Arabidopsis thaliana: one gene and its partners. The protein of the gene in region 2 interacts with the protein of the main gene of each other region in a biochemical or structural test. Each region holds a gene or a part of one and is shown on either strand. Other genes may lie near its edges.

Evidence for each region.
Region 1: the proteins of CAM5 (region 2) and WRKY7 form a complex in vitro, tested with the Arabidopsis thaliana proteins (one study listed by BioGRID).
Region 3: the proteins of CAM5 (region 2) and WRKY11 form a complex in vitro, tested with the Arabidopsis thaliana proteins (one study listed by BioGRID).
Region 4: the proteins of CAM5 (region 2) and WRKY74 form a complex in vitro, tested with the Arabidopsis thaliana proteins (one study listed by BioGRID).

The regions. Positions count from the first base shown.
Region 1 is NC_003075.7:12,569,895-12,574,303, forward strand, and holds WRKY7 (WRKY DNA-binding protein 7), read left to right. Parts: upstream 1-1,643; 5' UTR 1,644-2,035; coding exon 2,036-2,811; intron 2,812-2,913; coding exon 2,914-3,039; coding exon of another isoform or gene 3,040-3,043; exon of another isoform or gene 3,044-3,392; coding exon 3,393-3,552; 3' UTR 3,553-3,879; downstream 3,880-4,409. UniProt on the Arabidopsis thaliana protein: Transcription factor. Interacts specifically with the W box (5'-(T)TGAC[CT]-3'), a frequently occurring elicitor-responsive cis-acting element.
Region 2 is NC_003071.7:11,530,339-11,534,859, reverse strand, and holds CAM5 (calmodulin 5), read right to left. Parts: upstream 2,894-4,521; 5' UTR 2,792-2,893; coding exon 2,716-2,791; intron 2,174-2,715; coding exon 1,804-2,173; coding exon of another isoform or gene 1,800-1,803; exon of another isoform or gene 1,576-1,799; intron 784-1,575; coding exon 684-783; 3' UTR 502-683; downstream 1-501. Other genes in the region: PAG1 (20S proteasome alpha subunit G1), read left to right, coding at 3,696-4,105, 4,237-4,276. UniProt on the Arabidopsis thaliana protein: Calmodulin mediates the control of a large number of enzymes, ion channels and other proteins by Ca(2+). Among the enzymes to be stimulated by the calmodulin-Ca(2+) complex are a number of protein kinases and phosphatases.
Region 3 is NC_003075.7:15,289,398-15,293,515, reverse strand, and holds WRKY11 (WRKY DNA-binding protein 11), read left to right. Parts: upstream 1-1,976; 5' UTR 1,977-2,057; coding exon 2,058-2,725; intron 2,726-3,054; coding exon 3,055-3,183; coding exon of another isoform or gene 3,184-3,187; exon of another isoform or gene 3,188-3,270; coding exon 3,271-3,451; 3' UTR 3,452-3,569; downstream 3,570-4,118. UniProt on the Arabidopsis thaliana protein: Transcription factor. Interacts specifically with the W box (5'-(T)TGAC[CT]-3'), a frequently occurring elicitor-responsive cis-acting element.
Region 4 is NC_003076.8:10,677,073-10,680,783, forward strand, and holds WRKY74 (WRKY DNA-binding protein 74), read right to left. Parts: upstream 2,133-3,711; 5' UTR 1,874-2,132; coding exon 1,155-1,873; intron 1,080-1,154; coding exon 954-1,079; intron 866-953; coding exon 718-865; 3' UTR 527-717; downstream 1-526. UniProt on the Arabidopsis thaliana protein: Transcription factor. Interacts specifically with the W box (5'-(T)TGAC[CT]-3'), a frequently occurring elicitor-responsive cis-acting element.

The DNA of each region.
Region 1 (4,409 bases), on a different chromosome or scaffold from region 2:
TCATTTTATCATTACCAGTACAATGCTTGGTTATGAGAAAACCAAAATAAAGCCCAAGACATCCCACATATAAAGGCTCATACGACACAAAAGAAGAGATAAGCTATAGACGTGTCAGACCAATAATAATAAGCTAGGGACACGTGGAACGTCCACAACCTTCACTAGTCCTGGACAAAATATTCGTTCGATCCGCTTTAACTCAATATTCGATTTGATTTGATTCGAAAAATCCGAATATTCGTAAGATTTTGGAGCAAAGCAAATAGAAAAATGTAGTAATCGTAAAAACCGAAGCAAATAACAAATACTATTTTTTCTAAAGTCGGATATTCGCTTCGATCTATATATATATATATATATATATATCACAATATAGGTTGTGCATTTGTATATGTTGGGATTTGGGCTTGTATTTGTATCCTTTGGGCCTGTGTTTTTTTTGTGACACAGTTTTTATTAGAGAAGTGGAATTTTTTAAAATAAAATTGTTTTATTTTTTATATTTTATCCTAAAATTGTCGTTTTACTTTCCAATCCATCAAATATAAGAGCGACATTTCTGTTTCCTTTCTTCGACCTTTCACTATTTTTATCACTCAATTTGGTTACAGAATTTATAACCAGAAAATTTTCAGTTGCTCTCAATCTCACACTCGTAAGTCATAAGGTAAGAAATTTGAAATCTATGTTAAATAATTTATATAAAAAAATATTTGGATGTAGCAAAGCAAAGCGGATATCCGACAAATATCATACAAAAATCCGGATATTCGTATTTTCGGATATTTGGAAATTTTCGGATCAAAGCAAATAATAAAATTAAGTATTCGATTAAAACGAATCGAATAACAAATATCCCAAATTTTCCGGATATTCGCTTCGTGCCCAGGCCTAACCTCCACTGCACATGAGACTCAAGCCTGGTGAATCAGAAACGTCGTTGGAAAATCACCGGTCAACGAGACTTCTTTTTTATCACCAATTAAAAGTTACAGAACAAACATCAATCTCCTAATCTCATCCGATTGCAAGAATCACAAAGGATTCGGCAAAAATGGGTAAAAGAAATTAGAGAAAACTGAGTAGTTCAAACTTGTCTAACAATTAAATCTCTTGCAAGAACAACAAAGGCATATCTTAATTGCATAGGAAACGAGCTTTGACCTAACCTTAGTCGTGGAGAAATTGAAACTGTCTTAAACACAGTAGATCCAAACGAACCTAATTGTCGAGAACGCACACATCGCCGGAAAACTGTTGGAGCCAAAAAAAACAGAACCCAACGGTGAAGCCAATCAAAGCAGAAAGAAACTAAATCATGCGAAGAGAACACCTCTTCGGAACTGAAGATTCTGCCTGTCATAATGTTTCATCATCAAGATTTTAAAGCTACAAAACAAAAACAAATCCGAAGAAACCGAATTCAAAATTGCCCAAAAAGAAATCTAAATCCCGATCAACGGGAGATAATAGCCGGAAAAAATCCAGATAACGGAAACCGGAAGAAACCCGGACGGCGATTCTAAACTTACATCGGAAAAATCTTTCTCTGAAAAATACTATAGAGAGAAGAGAGAGACCTTCCTCCTTTTAGATCTTTCTTTAATTAAAAATTTAATTTTTATATTTTTAGCATCTAATCAGCCTCAAAAATATAAAATATCTTAGATTTTTCTCGAATAATAATAACGAATATATATATAATTCGAGCTCCACTTGCTCCAAATTTAAAATCATTGACGCTGAGGAGTGTCAAAACGCTTGACAAATGATCACACGTGTAAGCCTATGAGTGGTGGTCGATTTGACTGATGCACTATCAACACATACCTAAAGATATAGAGAGAGAAACGCATATCGTTGACTCTCCCCCTTTTTCACTCTCTTCATTTATTCTTCCCCTCATCATCATCATCATCTTCTTCTTTAACCAAAAACACAACTTACAAGAAAACTGTTGAATCTTTGTATTTATTTACATCTCCTTTGACCTTTAATAAGAATCTGAGTGGTTGGTCTCTGATTTGATGAGATGACTGTTGAGCTGATGATGAGCAGCTACAGCGGCGGCGGAGGAGGAGGTGATGGTTTTCCTGCAATCGCCGCGGCGGCGAAAATGGAAGATACCGCTTTGAGAGAAGCTGCTTCTGCAGGGATTCACGGTGTGGAGGAGTTTCTTAAACTGATCGGTCAAAGTCAACAACCAACGGAGAAGAGTCAGACGGAGATAACCGCGGTGACTGACGTCGCCGTTAACAGCTTCAAGAAGGTCATTTCTCTACTCGGTAGATCTAGAACCGGACACGCTAGATTCAGACGAGCTCCCGCGTCAACGCAAACGCCGTTTAAGCAAACGCCGGTGGTTGAGGAGGAGGTGGAGGTGGAGGAGAAGAAGCCAGAAACAAGCTCCGTGTTAACAAAACAGAAAACAGAGCAATATCACGGTGGTGGATCTGCGTTTAGAGTTTATTGTCCAACACCAATTCATCGTCGTCCTCCTCTATCACACAATAACAACAACAATCAGAATCAAACAAAGAACGGTTCGTCTTCTTCATCTCCTCCGATGCTCGCAAACGGAGCACCGTCAACGATAAACTTTGCGCCGTCACCACCAGTCTCAGCGACGAACTCATTCATGTCTTCTCATAGATGTGACACCGATAGTACTCACATGTCATCAGGATTCGAGTTCACTAACCCATCTCAGCTCTCTGGTTCGAGAGGTAAACCTCCTTTATCATCAGCTTCGTTGAAGAGAAGATGTAATTCATCTCCCTCAAGCCGTTGCCATTGCTCCAAGAAAAGGTTTTGATTCAACTTCTATTATTAAAAATTAATCTTATTTTAGATCTAAATCTTGAGATTTGATTAATAAAACGTTAATTATAATTTGTGTAAAAAAATCAGGAAATCAAGAGTAAAAAGAGTGATTAGAGTTCCAGCAGTAAGTAGCAAAATGGCTGATATACCATCAGATGAGTTTTCATGGAGAAAATATGGTCAAAAACCAATCAAAGGCTCTCCTCATCCTCGGTAATTATTTTTTACATTTTTTACCATCGATATATATACTCTACACATACATCACAATCACTCACTAGATTCAACACCAAAAATCAAATATTGGCTAGAAAATTAAGCAACTTGTGTATTGTCAATATTAGTACCAGAGAGATTGTCAATATTGTTTTTTTCTATATCGGTTGTACCAAACATGTTGTCTAGTAGTACAGTAGTGGGTTCAGTTTCACGCTCTTTTTGACTTGTTGTTTCCTATAGAATAAATTTGAAATAGAAAGCCGAGAGTTAAGTTGACTATTTCTTTTCTCATTAATTAATAAGAACTCGAACTAACTGGGGAGGACTCGGTGTAATGGTTATGACAGGGGATATTACAAGTGCAGCAGTGTAAGAGGTTGTCCGGCGCGTAAGCATGTGGAGCGTGCACTAGATGATGCGATGATGCTAATCGTGACGTACGAAGGAGACCACAACCATGCTTTGGTTCTCGAGACGACGACGATGAATCATGACAAAACTCTTTAGTTTCTCGAGTTTGAGGGGAACTGTCTGTGTGTGACCACTATCCAGATTAGTCAACGACAGAGTGGGCCCGCACTGCACTTTTTTATTCTTTTCTTTTTGAAAAGCTTTTGCTTTATCTTTCTTTTTGATTGGAGGAAATAGAGGGAGGGGAGATAAAGACGAGAGAGGAACGTTGTGGATCTTGATGGAAGTTGAATCATGTGAATGTCCTTTTCTGTTTATTTATTTCTAGGATAATATATATTTAGTGCACTATTTTTGTCAAATCTCTGATTCTTTTCTTACTTGCAGAACTATTTGAGTTTTTAGGGAAATTATCAGTTAATTTAGATTCAACTGACCATAATGCTATGCTGGTAATTGGAAAAAATTGCAATTCAAATTTCGTTAAACAAAAAAAAAAAGAACTATTTGTAGATTACATAGTCAAATCAACTTAACACACGTTTATAGAAACTAGAAAAGTTGTCGATCAAATAATAAGTAGCTCTAATAAGTATTTATTTCAGCATTAGTGAAAAACCTCAGATGCAATGTCGTTATCCTTTTAAGTGTGTTTTTTCCAACAAAGTTGACAATGTTTATGATTATGTTAACGGCTATAAATTCAAGTGTAAAGTACTTCAACATTTAGTAAAAAATTTAAAGCTTTACTACAAAATTTTGTTACCAAGAAAATCAGCTATTCATGCATCATTGCGTTATAACTCTTCAATATCACTTTTAAGTGATGTTTTAGAGACTTTTTTTAAAAAGATGTTTTAAAATTTTTTAGACCAATCATATTTTAGAGTATGTTATCTAATTAGTTAAAATTTGTTTAATTGTATTATATGTAAAAGAGGTAGGATTAAAGT
Region 2 (4,521 bases):
GTGTTATAAACTAGTATTTGGATATTATATTCTTAATCATAAGTTTTCTTAACGAGAGGCTTTTCGAATTCATGTACAATTTGCATTTCTTGATTTATTATGAAAATACTTAAATAGCAACTGATTAGAAAGACTTTTAAGTTTAGGTTTAGTTCCTAAAAAAGTATTTTCTTTGTTTTAATTGTATTATCATCTCACAAGAATTAGACCATATGCCCGCCCACATTGTTGATAGATAGCAAATGCCTAACGCCTAAATCAACTGATAAATTATAACAGTTAGATCGCCAGAGTATTAGTTAAAGTCTCCTAATATTGGTCGTGTATCTTTTCTGAGTTTTCTCTTGCTAATATCTTAAAAACATTGTGATAGTGTTTCTGTACTAGTGCCACCGTCGTATCATAACTCGGATTTAGTGTTGTCGCTATATACTTGGATTCAAGTTTGATAAGTGTGCGTATGTTGTAGACGAAAATTAAACATTGTGGTAGATAGGAAATGCCTAAATGAACTTACTATATTGATAGTACTTTAAAACTTTTTATATAACAGTATAGTAAATATTTAACATATTCAAACAAGATATGACATTTAAAATCCGTTTAATGGGTGTGAGAGGTACAAATCTCTTATTGCACACAAACATATAAAGAAAAGGAATTAAGAAGCAAATGGTCGGAGCTCAGAGAATACGGCAGTGACTTTTCCGGCGACCATTCTTTTCTTTGTATTCAGCAGAATTGCTACTACGCTTTGCTGCCATAACTCTCTTCCCTCTTCTCCTAATAAATTACACACATTTTAAAATAATTAGGTATCAAGATTTTCGATAATATTTAAAAGAAAAAGAAGAAACTAAGCCTTGTAACAAAAAAAAGTAAAAATAAAAAATACTGGTTACCAACAAAAAAGTTCAGTCATAATTAAAGGTTTGGAGATTCTCATTTCATCTATCTAGCTTTTGCTACTTACCATCCATTTTTGATTTTATTCCCCAAAACATATCTGCCTTTTAATTTAAACAATTACGTTCTACCTCACGAATAACTACTGTATGCATACACCACTTTTTATATGTTTTTGTTAAAATGTAGAATATATTGAATCAAGAAAAACACGAATGTTATTTACAAAGCTGAAAGTTGAAGTGGGGAAAAAGAGAACTGAAGCTTGAAAACTTTTGAAAGAAAAAATGAAATGGAAGTTATGTTTTTCTTTAACCCTTTTTCGTATTTCCTAAATTTTATCTCTTGTTTTAATCGTTACAAATGATAATACTTTTTTCTAACAGTTTACTTATTTTCTTATATGAACCGTAAAATAAGAAAAACATATTTTAATTTGACTCAAATTATATGGATTATTGCCAACATTCCTCTAAAAAATAGGGGAATTTCCAAATTGACCAACAATTTAAAAATAAATAAAAAATTCTAAGCTTTTAAAACTACCGATATAATGTTTTCAGACATTTTTCCTACAAATTTTAATCACACAAATAACCCTTTTTTTTTTTAACAAACATTGCAAACTATAAAATACAATAAAATAAAAAAGTACTAATACCAAGAGATAGCTTTTTCAACGACCATTACAATGGTACTTCACATAATATAAAATAAACTAAAAACTTCCAAACAAATAATTTAACCCAAAGTCACAAAATAGTTCATAACATGAAATTTGGGACGAATGCATAATAATGAACAGTCAAACATAGAATAAAGCAATAATCAGAGTTGTTCAATTCAAAAAAAGAAAGAAAGAAAAAGAGAGAAAAGATATGAGAATAGTTTCCTCACTTTGCCATCATAACTTTGACAAACTCTTCATAATTGATCTGACCATCTCCATCAACATCAGCTTCTTTGATCATCTCATCAACTTCTTCATCAGTTAACTTCTCACCAAGATTTGTCATTACATGTCTTAACTCAGCTGCCGAGATGAAACCGTTCTGGTCCTTATCGAAAACCCTGAAAGCTTCTTTGAGCTCTTCTTCAGAGTCAGTGTCCTTCATCTTCCTAGCCATTAGGTTCAGAAACTCAGGGAAGTCTATGGTTCCGTTACCATCAGCATCTACTTCGTTTATCATATCTTGTAACTCTGCTTCTGTTGGATTTTGACCTAATGATCTCATCACTGTTCCTAGCTCTTTCGTTGTGATGCAACCTAAACACAAAACCACACATTTCTCTCAAATCAGTAACAGATTTTAACACCAAATCTTCAAATTTTCATTGTAATTTACTCTAATAACACACAAAATCTTCAAATTTCATTTTAGTTACTCTAACAACTGTATCAAATGAACACAAAATCTTCAAATTTCATTGTAACCTACTCAAATAACTGAATCAATTAAACAAAAAATCTACAAATGTCAATGTAATCTACTTCGATTATTGAATTCTAAGATTTGTGTCAATTCTAATCACAATTAGTAAAATCTGGAAGACTAAAACACGATTAAGTTAGAGATTATTATCGAGATAGATCCGATTGCGATTATAATTTATAATCAACGAACGATAAAGATATCATCAAATCTCGCGTTTAATGTTAATGTGAATATCCAGAGATTTTATGGACAACGAAGAGCATCAAATTCCTAAAGCCAAGACTAAGTGATACTCAAAACACCAAAAAAAACGCAAGTGAGTCTATTATGAATGAAAATTATACAAAAGAGGAAAGATCTGAGAGAGAAGAACCATCTCCGTCTTTGTCGAAAAGGCTAAAAGCTTCCTTGAACTCAGAGATCTGATCATCGGTGAGCTGATCTGCCATTTTTTGGTTTAGATGAGAAAGAGAGAAGAAGAAGAAGAAGAAGAATCAACGTTGGTGTGTGTAATGAGAGGATTGTTGTGTGGAATTATAAAGAAGGAAAAAGAAAAGGCCCATTAGGCCCAATAACAATAATTTCGAATCTGATTCTCTTTTTTATTCTTCTTTTGTTTTGTTCTCCACTGGGCCTTATTGTGTTTTCAATTCGACTAGCTTTACTTAAGAGGGAGGTGATGTATATATTCCCTTGTGAAAAGAAATAGTATTGTTGTTTTGCCGACAACCATTTACATGCTTTGAATGGTTTAGTTCATATAAGTTACTGATCTTACCATGCGTACCAATACTAAGTATTCAACGAGTTGGTAGAATGGGATTACTAGTGATATAAAACGGTAAAAAAGGTTTAGCTTTGTGTTTACCATGGATTTTAAACTACTTTTTAATTAAGTTAACCAAAGAAAAAGTTTTAGCATTATAAGAAAATTTAGAAATAGTAGTACTTTTTATTTACTGTTTTTGTAATTAATAATCATCTAGGAGTTAGGACAAAAATCACTACTTTGTTGTTGGAAGGGTCACCTAATGGGTAGTTAAGCATCATGACCTTCACTTAAAGATTTGATATTAAACAAGATCCAGTTTTCGCAAAACTGTCATACTTTTTTGATCGCCACAACTATGTCTCTCAGTTTGGCTAGAGATGTAGTAAAAAACAAACTTATTGTATCCATCACAATTATAGGTAATTTACTGTCTTGGTTTTAAAAACATGTAATGTTGAGCATCCCAAAGTTTGTGTGTCCCAATGCTAGAGCATATTATAGTCTTACCTCTAGTGAGTTCATAAAGAAGTGTTGTATGATCATATATTTTGTTGAGTAAGAGAAATATTTCTTTCTTCCTCATGTGGTTGATTATTCAAAATTATACAAAAGAGGAAAATCACTTAAAAATATTCACGATACCGTTAAAAGATTACCAAAGAATGGGCCAAATCATAATATTAATAAAGCCCGTTAATAACCGAATCGACCCACCCGACAAAACAACCCGAATCGTTTTAATATCCAACCCGGAGTCAGACGGAGCTCCAAAGATTTGGCTTGTCTCTGGCTTGAGAACAAAGAAAACCCCTTTCTTCGATCTCAGCTTAAATCACTCGACGAAGAAGAAATCAGAAAAGAGTCAGAGAAAAAAAAAATCAAGGAAGATGAGTAGCATTGGAACTGGGTACGATCTCTCCGTCACCACTTTCTCTCCCGATGGCCGTGTTTTCCAGATCGAGTACGCCGCTAAAGCTGTCGACAACAGTGGGTTAGTTGGCTTTATCTTCTTCGATCTTCGCCCTTTAGTAGATCGGATTTAGCTTCTGAAAACTTTGAGATTTTGGTTATCGACACGAATTAGGGTTTGTTAAAAGTCTTTCCCTTTTTTTTTCTTCGCAGGACTGTTGTTGGAATCAAGTGCAAAGATGGGATTGTTATGGTTTGATTCTTCCTCCTTCCTCTATTGATTTTTATACTACTTTGTCACTTTCTTCAGTGGGTTTAGTCTCTCGTGCTGTGATTTAACCTTGGAATGAAGTATTCACATTTTTGTTATCAGAATTGTAGATTTGATGTAATATATACCGTGTAAATTTTGACCCAAGATGACACATTTTACAGTCCCTTAGTTTCATTTCCTGTTCGATATGTTGTGAATCTGTTGTTAGTTTTGGGTTTTGTAAG
Region 3 (4,118 bases), on a different chromosome or scaffold from region 2:
CATGTATAGAACAAAAACAAGTTTACTTTTAAAATTAGTGAAAGACTAGTTCCAAAACCGCATTGACATGTTAGTTTTTTCTCTTACAAATATATATTTGTTATCTTATTCTAATGTTAACCAAACAAATATTGATCGGGAAGAAAAAGAGATGCTCAGAAATATTATAACACAATGAGTGATTGAGACATAGAAAAAAGGATGATCATTGAGATTTTGTAACTATGTAGATAATATAGACGTGCACGACAATAATAATACAACTCGGTCGATCGGGTCAACTACCCCATGTTATAATTTAATCGTTGACATAAGAAACTGTTTTAAATAACAACAATCCATGGTTTCTTCCCCACCCATATATAGCCATAAAACACGTTACATGAACACTCAACACGTTCTATTTTCATTTTTTATTTTGTTAATAATTTAAGAATTTTAAGCTGAAGTCCAGATTAATTTCCAAAACATAGAGAGACAATATAATTATTGCCAGCTAAGATAATCACAATTACTGAATACGATTAAAATCCAAGTTGGAAGATTTTATTTTTGTAACCAATGGACTAGTATCCAAGATAATGTTGATACATACGAGTACATTTTATGTCACTATATACAATTTCCGATATTTTTTATTTTTCAATCATTCGTTAATAAAAATTCTACAAACAAAAATAATTCATCAAAACACTAAATAAATTTTTTTTCCCTTTTTCTCAATTTTATGCCTTGCCTAATTTCTGTTCCATTCATTTTTGAAACAATTTCAATAGTGGAACATGATAACAAAAGTCGACACGTGACAAGAACTTAATAGCTGGCTGGAGATTTTAATAGGCTCATAAAATCATAAAAACATAGTCAACACTTGTATCCACAGATCCACCGTTGGATTGACCTTTCGAAAATCCAGTGGTTCATATAAGAGTTAATGGGACCACCCGGTTACCGAGGTCGTCAAATAGCTTTATGTTCAAAGAAATAATCGTAAATTCGTTATTTTTTATTTTCTTACAATAATTTAGTAGCACTACTACTTTAACATTTTAAATAGTCAGCTTTTCACCTTCCTTTGTCGTATTGATGAATCGCTGTTCTAGTGGACTTTTAAAATCATTAGTCAAACCATTACTGCTATTTTAATTATAATGACTATTATTATTTGTTGTTTTCACAATATGTGTAGAATACTTAGGTGAATTTGAGGTTAATAAAGTTTCCAAGTGAAGACTGTTTCTAAAATGAAAACTTCTTGTTGTAAATAAGTAAACAGTCAAATTTTATCAATAGAAAAAGACAAAAAAGAAGTAAAAGTCCGGCGCCAAATATTTATTGGTTATGGAAACCCCTTAACTTAGTCTTGAATTAGTTAATCGTAAATCTAGTTGACAAATATTAAAGTCCGTAGAATTTGAAAGAATACAGAAGATTCAAATTGGGACAAACATAATATATAATTAAAGCTTTATAAAAGTCAAATGTATCCATTATTATTATTTTGGGATTAATCAATCATCTCTGTCTCTCGTTGACAACTCTTCCTTCTCTTGCCTCAACCAAATTCCAGCTGGCCCTCTTTCTCCATTGTGTGTGAATGAATCATTGACATTATTTTTACTTACTTTGGTCATGCAAACTTCTTTCTACACCTTTTGCTTAAGCTAAGTTGAATGATTTTTGTTAAGAGTGTTGTTATTTAGAGAAAATTCTGTCCATCCATTATCTTTTTGGGTTGAAAAATATCTTGAATTTGAAGTAACGATAAAATTCGGATGCCAGGGGTGGGTCCCAGTAACCTCGAACTTTGAGGAGACCAAACTGTTGATTGCTTTATTCCGTGGAAATCCTCAACTCAATCACAGCCGTTGGATCAAAACCTCCTTCCCGGTTTGACTAAAAAATCACCAAAAATCTGACCCGGTCACCTCCTCTTTTCCCCATATATCACGCATCCTTCTTCTTCTCTCTTCTCCATCACAACCATTTCTCTCTCTCGTCTTCGTCTTCTTCTTCTTCAACGTTCCTCTCCAAAATCCTCAGACCAAGAAATCATCATGGCCGTCGATCTAATGCGTTTCCCTAAGATAGATGATCAAACGGCTATTCAGGAAGCTGCATCGCAAGGTTTACAAAGTATGGAACATCTGATCCGTGTCCTCTCTAACCGTCCCGAACAACAACACAACGTTGACTGCTCCGAGATCACTGACTTCACCGTTTCTAAATTCAAAACCGTCATTTCTCTCCTTAACCGTACTGGTCACGCTCGGTTCAGACGCGGACCGGTTCACTCCACTTCCTCTGCCGCATCTCAGAAACTACAGAGTCAGATCGTTAAAAATACTCAACCTGAGGCTCCGATAGTGAGAACAACTACGAATCACCCTCAAATCGTTCCTCCACCGTCTAGTGTAACACTCGATTTCTCTAAACCAAGCATCTTCGGCACCAAAGCTAAGAGCGCCGAGCTGGAATTCTCCAAAGAAAACTTCAGTGTTTCTTTAAACTCCTCATTCATGTCGTCGGCGATAACCGGAGACGGCAGCGTCTCCAATGGAAAAATCTTCCTTGCTTCTGCTCCGTTGCAGCCTGTTAACTCTTCCGGAAAACCACCGTTGGCTGGTCATCCTTACAGAAAGAGATGTCTCGAGCATGAGCACTCAGAGAGTTTCTCCGGAAAAGTCTCCGGCTCCGCCTACGGAAAGTGCCATTGCAAGAAAAGGTATTGTTACGTCACCCACCTGTCGCTCTAACAACTACTCAGTGACTTCAGTTATTTAATTTCAAAAGTTTCAACCCATAGTTGACTATTACCCTCGCTATATCAATAATTAAAAAATAGTCTAATAATTCAATTAGGTGAACCCGGTTTAGTAATACTGTCCCGGTTATCGGTCTAGTTGCTTTAAATGTCGGGCATGTTTTGGTATTGCGCGCCGACAATGACTAGAACCGGTTGAGCTCAATGAATAACTCAAGTTTTGACCGTTGACTTTTGGAACCCAATGTTTTTTCCGTTAATTAATATTTTCTATTTGATTTTTAATGAAGCAGGAAAAATCGGATGAAGAGAACCGTGAGAGTACCGGCGATAAGTGCAAAGATCGCCGATATTCCACCGGACGAATATTCGTGGAGGAAGTACGGACAAAAACCGATCAAGGGCTCACCACACCCACGGTAAATATCCTACACCCGTCTAATATCCACCGTTGGTATTTAATTTAATCGCGATCTAACGGTGTTTATTTGTTTTTTGCGATCCAGTGGTTACTACAAGTGCAGTACATTCAGAGGATGTCCAGCGAGGAAACACGTGGAACGAGCATTAGATGATCCAGCGATGCTTATTGTGACATACGAAGGAGAGCACCGTCATAACCAATCCGCGATGCAGGAGAATATTTCTTCTTCAGGCATTAATGATTTAGTGTTTGCCTCGGCTTGACTTTTTTTTGTACTATTTGTTTTTTGATTTTTTGAGTACTTTAGATGGATTGAAATTTGTAAATTTTTTTATTAAGAAATCAATTTAAATAGAGAAAAATTAGTGGTGGTGCAATGTTTTATACTATTGTTGTTGATGATTAGTAGATATGGGTATTAGGTAGAACCGTAGAGGTTATGAAATTAATTGCGCACCAAATGATATAGACTTATGTTCGTCATTTACTTTTCATTATTCATTGTTTTTTTCCTTAATTAATATAAATGACTTGGTGGCCGTTGGATTGCTCGCGAAAGTAAAGTTGACTAAATTGATGAATGATTAAAAGTCAATGAGTACTTAATGAGTTGGTTGGGTTTTGGTGTCGAATAATGCATTTGAGTTTGTCTATATAAATGTGAAATCCGAAAGACAAGTTAAGGGTCAACTGAATTTATTTATGCCGTCTGAATAGTACATTGACATTTATTATCTATATCTTGTGTCAAAGTTGTCATTTGTTATTGCCGACCTATGTTTTAAAATGAAATACCAAGTGTTTGACCATTTCCTATGTTTATATTTCGATATCGATTGGTAGTAAGACAAACAGTTTGGCACGATGTATACAAAATTAGAGATGTACAAGTACTTGCTATGTTAAAAGGGAACGGAAGTTACGAAACAC
Region 4 (3,711 bases), on a different chromosome or scaffold from region 2:
AGCAAGAGGCGGATATCTTGACTAAGGCATTGACACAGATCAAGTTCAAGACAATGAGAAGTTTGTTTGGAGTTCAAGACCTCTCTAAAGTTAACTTGAAGCTTATGGGGGAGAATGTTGGGTAAACTTCAAAGTTAACTTAAGGCCCAAGTAGTCTTTAATGAGGAGGTTAAAGACTAAGAAAGGCCTAGAAGTTTCTATTAGGTTTAGGAGTTATCTAAGTCCTAATTGTAATACGATTAGCAAAGTTGTGCCTCCTATATACACCTCTTAGGTTGAGAGAGAGTTTTCTAATCATCAATAAAAGAGAGTTATTCTTTTAAAGCTTGTTCTTGTGTTCTTAAGAAACTTTAGTCTTTGCCATCGAAACTTGGTGCTTTTCCTCGTAGATGGTTACATTTCATTTATGGGGTTATGTTATTCTTTAGTTTCAAGATTAACTTCAGCTACAGTACCATTAAACTTAATTCTTAAAGAGTTTGTTATTATTTTGCATGGTTACCTTCTGATGGGCTTTGAGTACTAAAATCAATTGGGGAAAGGAACCAAATTATATGAGTCACCAGTTTAACTCAACAAAGCCAAACCAAAACAACTTCTAGATTATGCATATCTAACTTAAACCTATATATAGATAAAGCTGAAGCCAAATTGTTATGCACAAAAATTCGAGTTTGCAAAGTAGAATATACAATTGAAGACCGTTACTACAATCAATCAAGTATGAGCTGATTGAGAAGAGAGTATTCTTGAATGGTTATGCTCGCCTTCATAAGTCACAATAAGCATCGAAGTTTCTTCTACACATCGCTCAACATGCTTCCTCGCTGGACAACCGCGCACACTGCTACATTTATAGTATCCCCTGCAAACAACAAAAACAAGAAACAAATTATAAACCAAAACATATAAACAAAGTCCAATGTTTTTCTCTTCTTGTAATGTTATTTTACCTAGGATGAGGAGAACCCTTAATCGGCTTTTGTCCGTATTTCCTCCATGAATATTCATCGGGAGGTATGTCCGCAATCTTGTTACTGATTGCCGGTACTTTAATCGATCGTTTCACCCTTAATTTCCTGTAAACAAACACCAAAACATTGAAATAAACAAACTCTTAGAACACTTTTTTCTCAAGGAAGAACAAAACCAACCTTTTCTTGGAACAATGGCATTTGCTTTTACTTCCACATTTTAAACTACCAGAGCAACTAGTCCTCCTAGAATGTTGCGATATATGATCGGAACCTTGAGGTAATCCAATCAAATGAAAAGAGTTTCTATCGTAATCCGTCACACTACCATCCATACTAAGAGATGAAACAAACGATCTTGACCCATTTGATATACTTGGTGAATAACAACTAGCACCAATAGACCCATCAAACTTTAGATTCAAACCACTTTTGCTCCTTGAGTACACTCCTTGCTGATGGGTATGAATAAACTGATAAGGTTTTGGATCAACAGCTCGTGAAGAGGGTGGCTTCAGCTCGAGAAACGACTTATCAAGACACATATTCTGGTTAAACAACATCAATGGAGGAGGACCAGCTGGTACAATCTGAAGAGGCTTTGGTGCTAGAATTGGAATACAACCACTTATAGCATTATTACTGCAAACAGGACTCTCCAAAAACATGTGTTGTGGCAACAAAGAAGAGCTAAACTTGTAGTTGTTGTTGTTGAGTTTCTTTATCTTCCTTTGACCTAACCCTCTAGACAAAAGAGAGGAGACTCTCTTGAACTTGCAAACAGCTTCTCTTGTTTCAACCATTATTGATTTGGAATCATTGGTTTGTTGTGATAAGAGATTCAATACTCCATGACAACTTTCCACTGCTGCTTTGTTTGCAGCTTCAACTTCTTCCATTTTCTTCTTCACAAAGGATACTTTTAAAAAACGAAAAACCTCAAAACTCAAACGCTAAAAAAAACTATTTCAAAAGAAAAGAATAATCATCATGAGCTAGCTCAAACATGGAAACCATAAAAATCAAAATAATAGCTCAAGAACAAGGGTTAAAAGCAGAAAATTGTTCTCTCACTGTAAGAAGAAGAAACAAATATTCTTCTCTCAGTATAAAGCAAAGCTTCGAGATTGGTGAGAGAAGGGAGAGTGGAGATGGTCGTCACTCATCACAGTCACAGAGGAAAGGAGAGAAAAACAGAGTTCTCTGTAAAAGATTTTCGTGGTGGGTTCCATTACTGGACCTACTTTGCATCTACTTTTTCTTTTCTTTTTTCTTTGGAAATAATAATATTTTTGGTGACAACCAAATAATGTTCTGCATAAATATTAGTTTTGTGATAATGTGTCTTAATTATTTCTTATTTATGTATACTAGCTAACTCTTTATATATTAACTAGATTTTGATTCGCAGTATACCGCATGATTATTTTATTTTTTAAGAATAAAAATTTAATTTGTTTTTTTGATTAAAAATATATATGATTTAATGTTTTATATTTTCTAAATGTATTTTCTGAATGTATAACTCTTATATCTATATATTATTAAATATATAATTATTATATTTGATTTTTACTATTAAAAATGTAGAAACAATAACATACCATTCATTAAATTAAAATTTAGATTATAACTAAATAATTTAAATTTAAATTATATTTATTTTACTAATATTATTTGTTTTGTTTAATATTTAAGATAATATAATTGTATTTTGATTGTTTTATTTAGGATTTCACCCGTGGTATACCGTTTCGTATTACTATCGATCCAAACCCGTCCTACCATCTAATCTCGTACGACCCAAATTCAGTTTGATAAAATTAAACATTATTTTTTCTTTTTTGTTCAAATAATATTTTTATTAAAAGATTTATAATTCAAATTAATTTAAAAGTTTTCTTTTGAAATGATTATTTGATTTTATAGATTTCATATATTATAAACGTTTTTTCGTTAAATATTCTAAACATTTTATAAACTTTAAATAAATACAATATTTATTTTTAATGAAATATAATATTAATAAAGTCATAAGATTTCTCCTTTATAAAAGTAATTAGAAAGGAAATATTTTAAGAAAAATAGATTTTTATCTTTATGTGTTATTAACGAAAATAACATTAGTTAATAGGATATTCTTAATTCATTTAAATAATTATCTAAATGATATTTTTAACTCATTTAAATAATTATCTATCTTTATTAAAATATCTAGAGATAATGTCATTAGTTTGATATAGACATATCTCAAACAAATAATTAAGCAACTAATCTTTCCAAAATAAATATACAACAGCCGTATATTATAAACCTAAGAATTCTATATCAACAAAGACAATAATAGGTTAGCTTAAAAAAAATGAAATAATAGGTAAGCTTTTTAGAACTAAAGATCATCTTTAATAAGCCCACTTCTTAAACAATAAGTCTAAGATAATGAAATAAGTTTTTTTTTTCTTTTTTTTTGAAATCAATGAAATAAGTTTTAACAGAAACAAATAAAATGTATTAATCAAAATATTTTTAATGAATGACAATTTCAATGATGTATTATGTTGAGAACAACTGAAAAAGTTGATGTGTCATGCTAGAAAAAAATGGGTCTTATTTTAGATGTATTAATTTCATAGTACAAAATTTTTCAAAGGATAAAATAATATGGTTAAACTAATGCTTGACCTTAAATGATAATATATATGAAATAGAAAGATATTTTACACCCTTTAATCTCTAT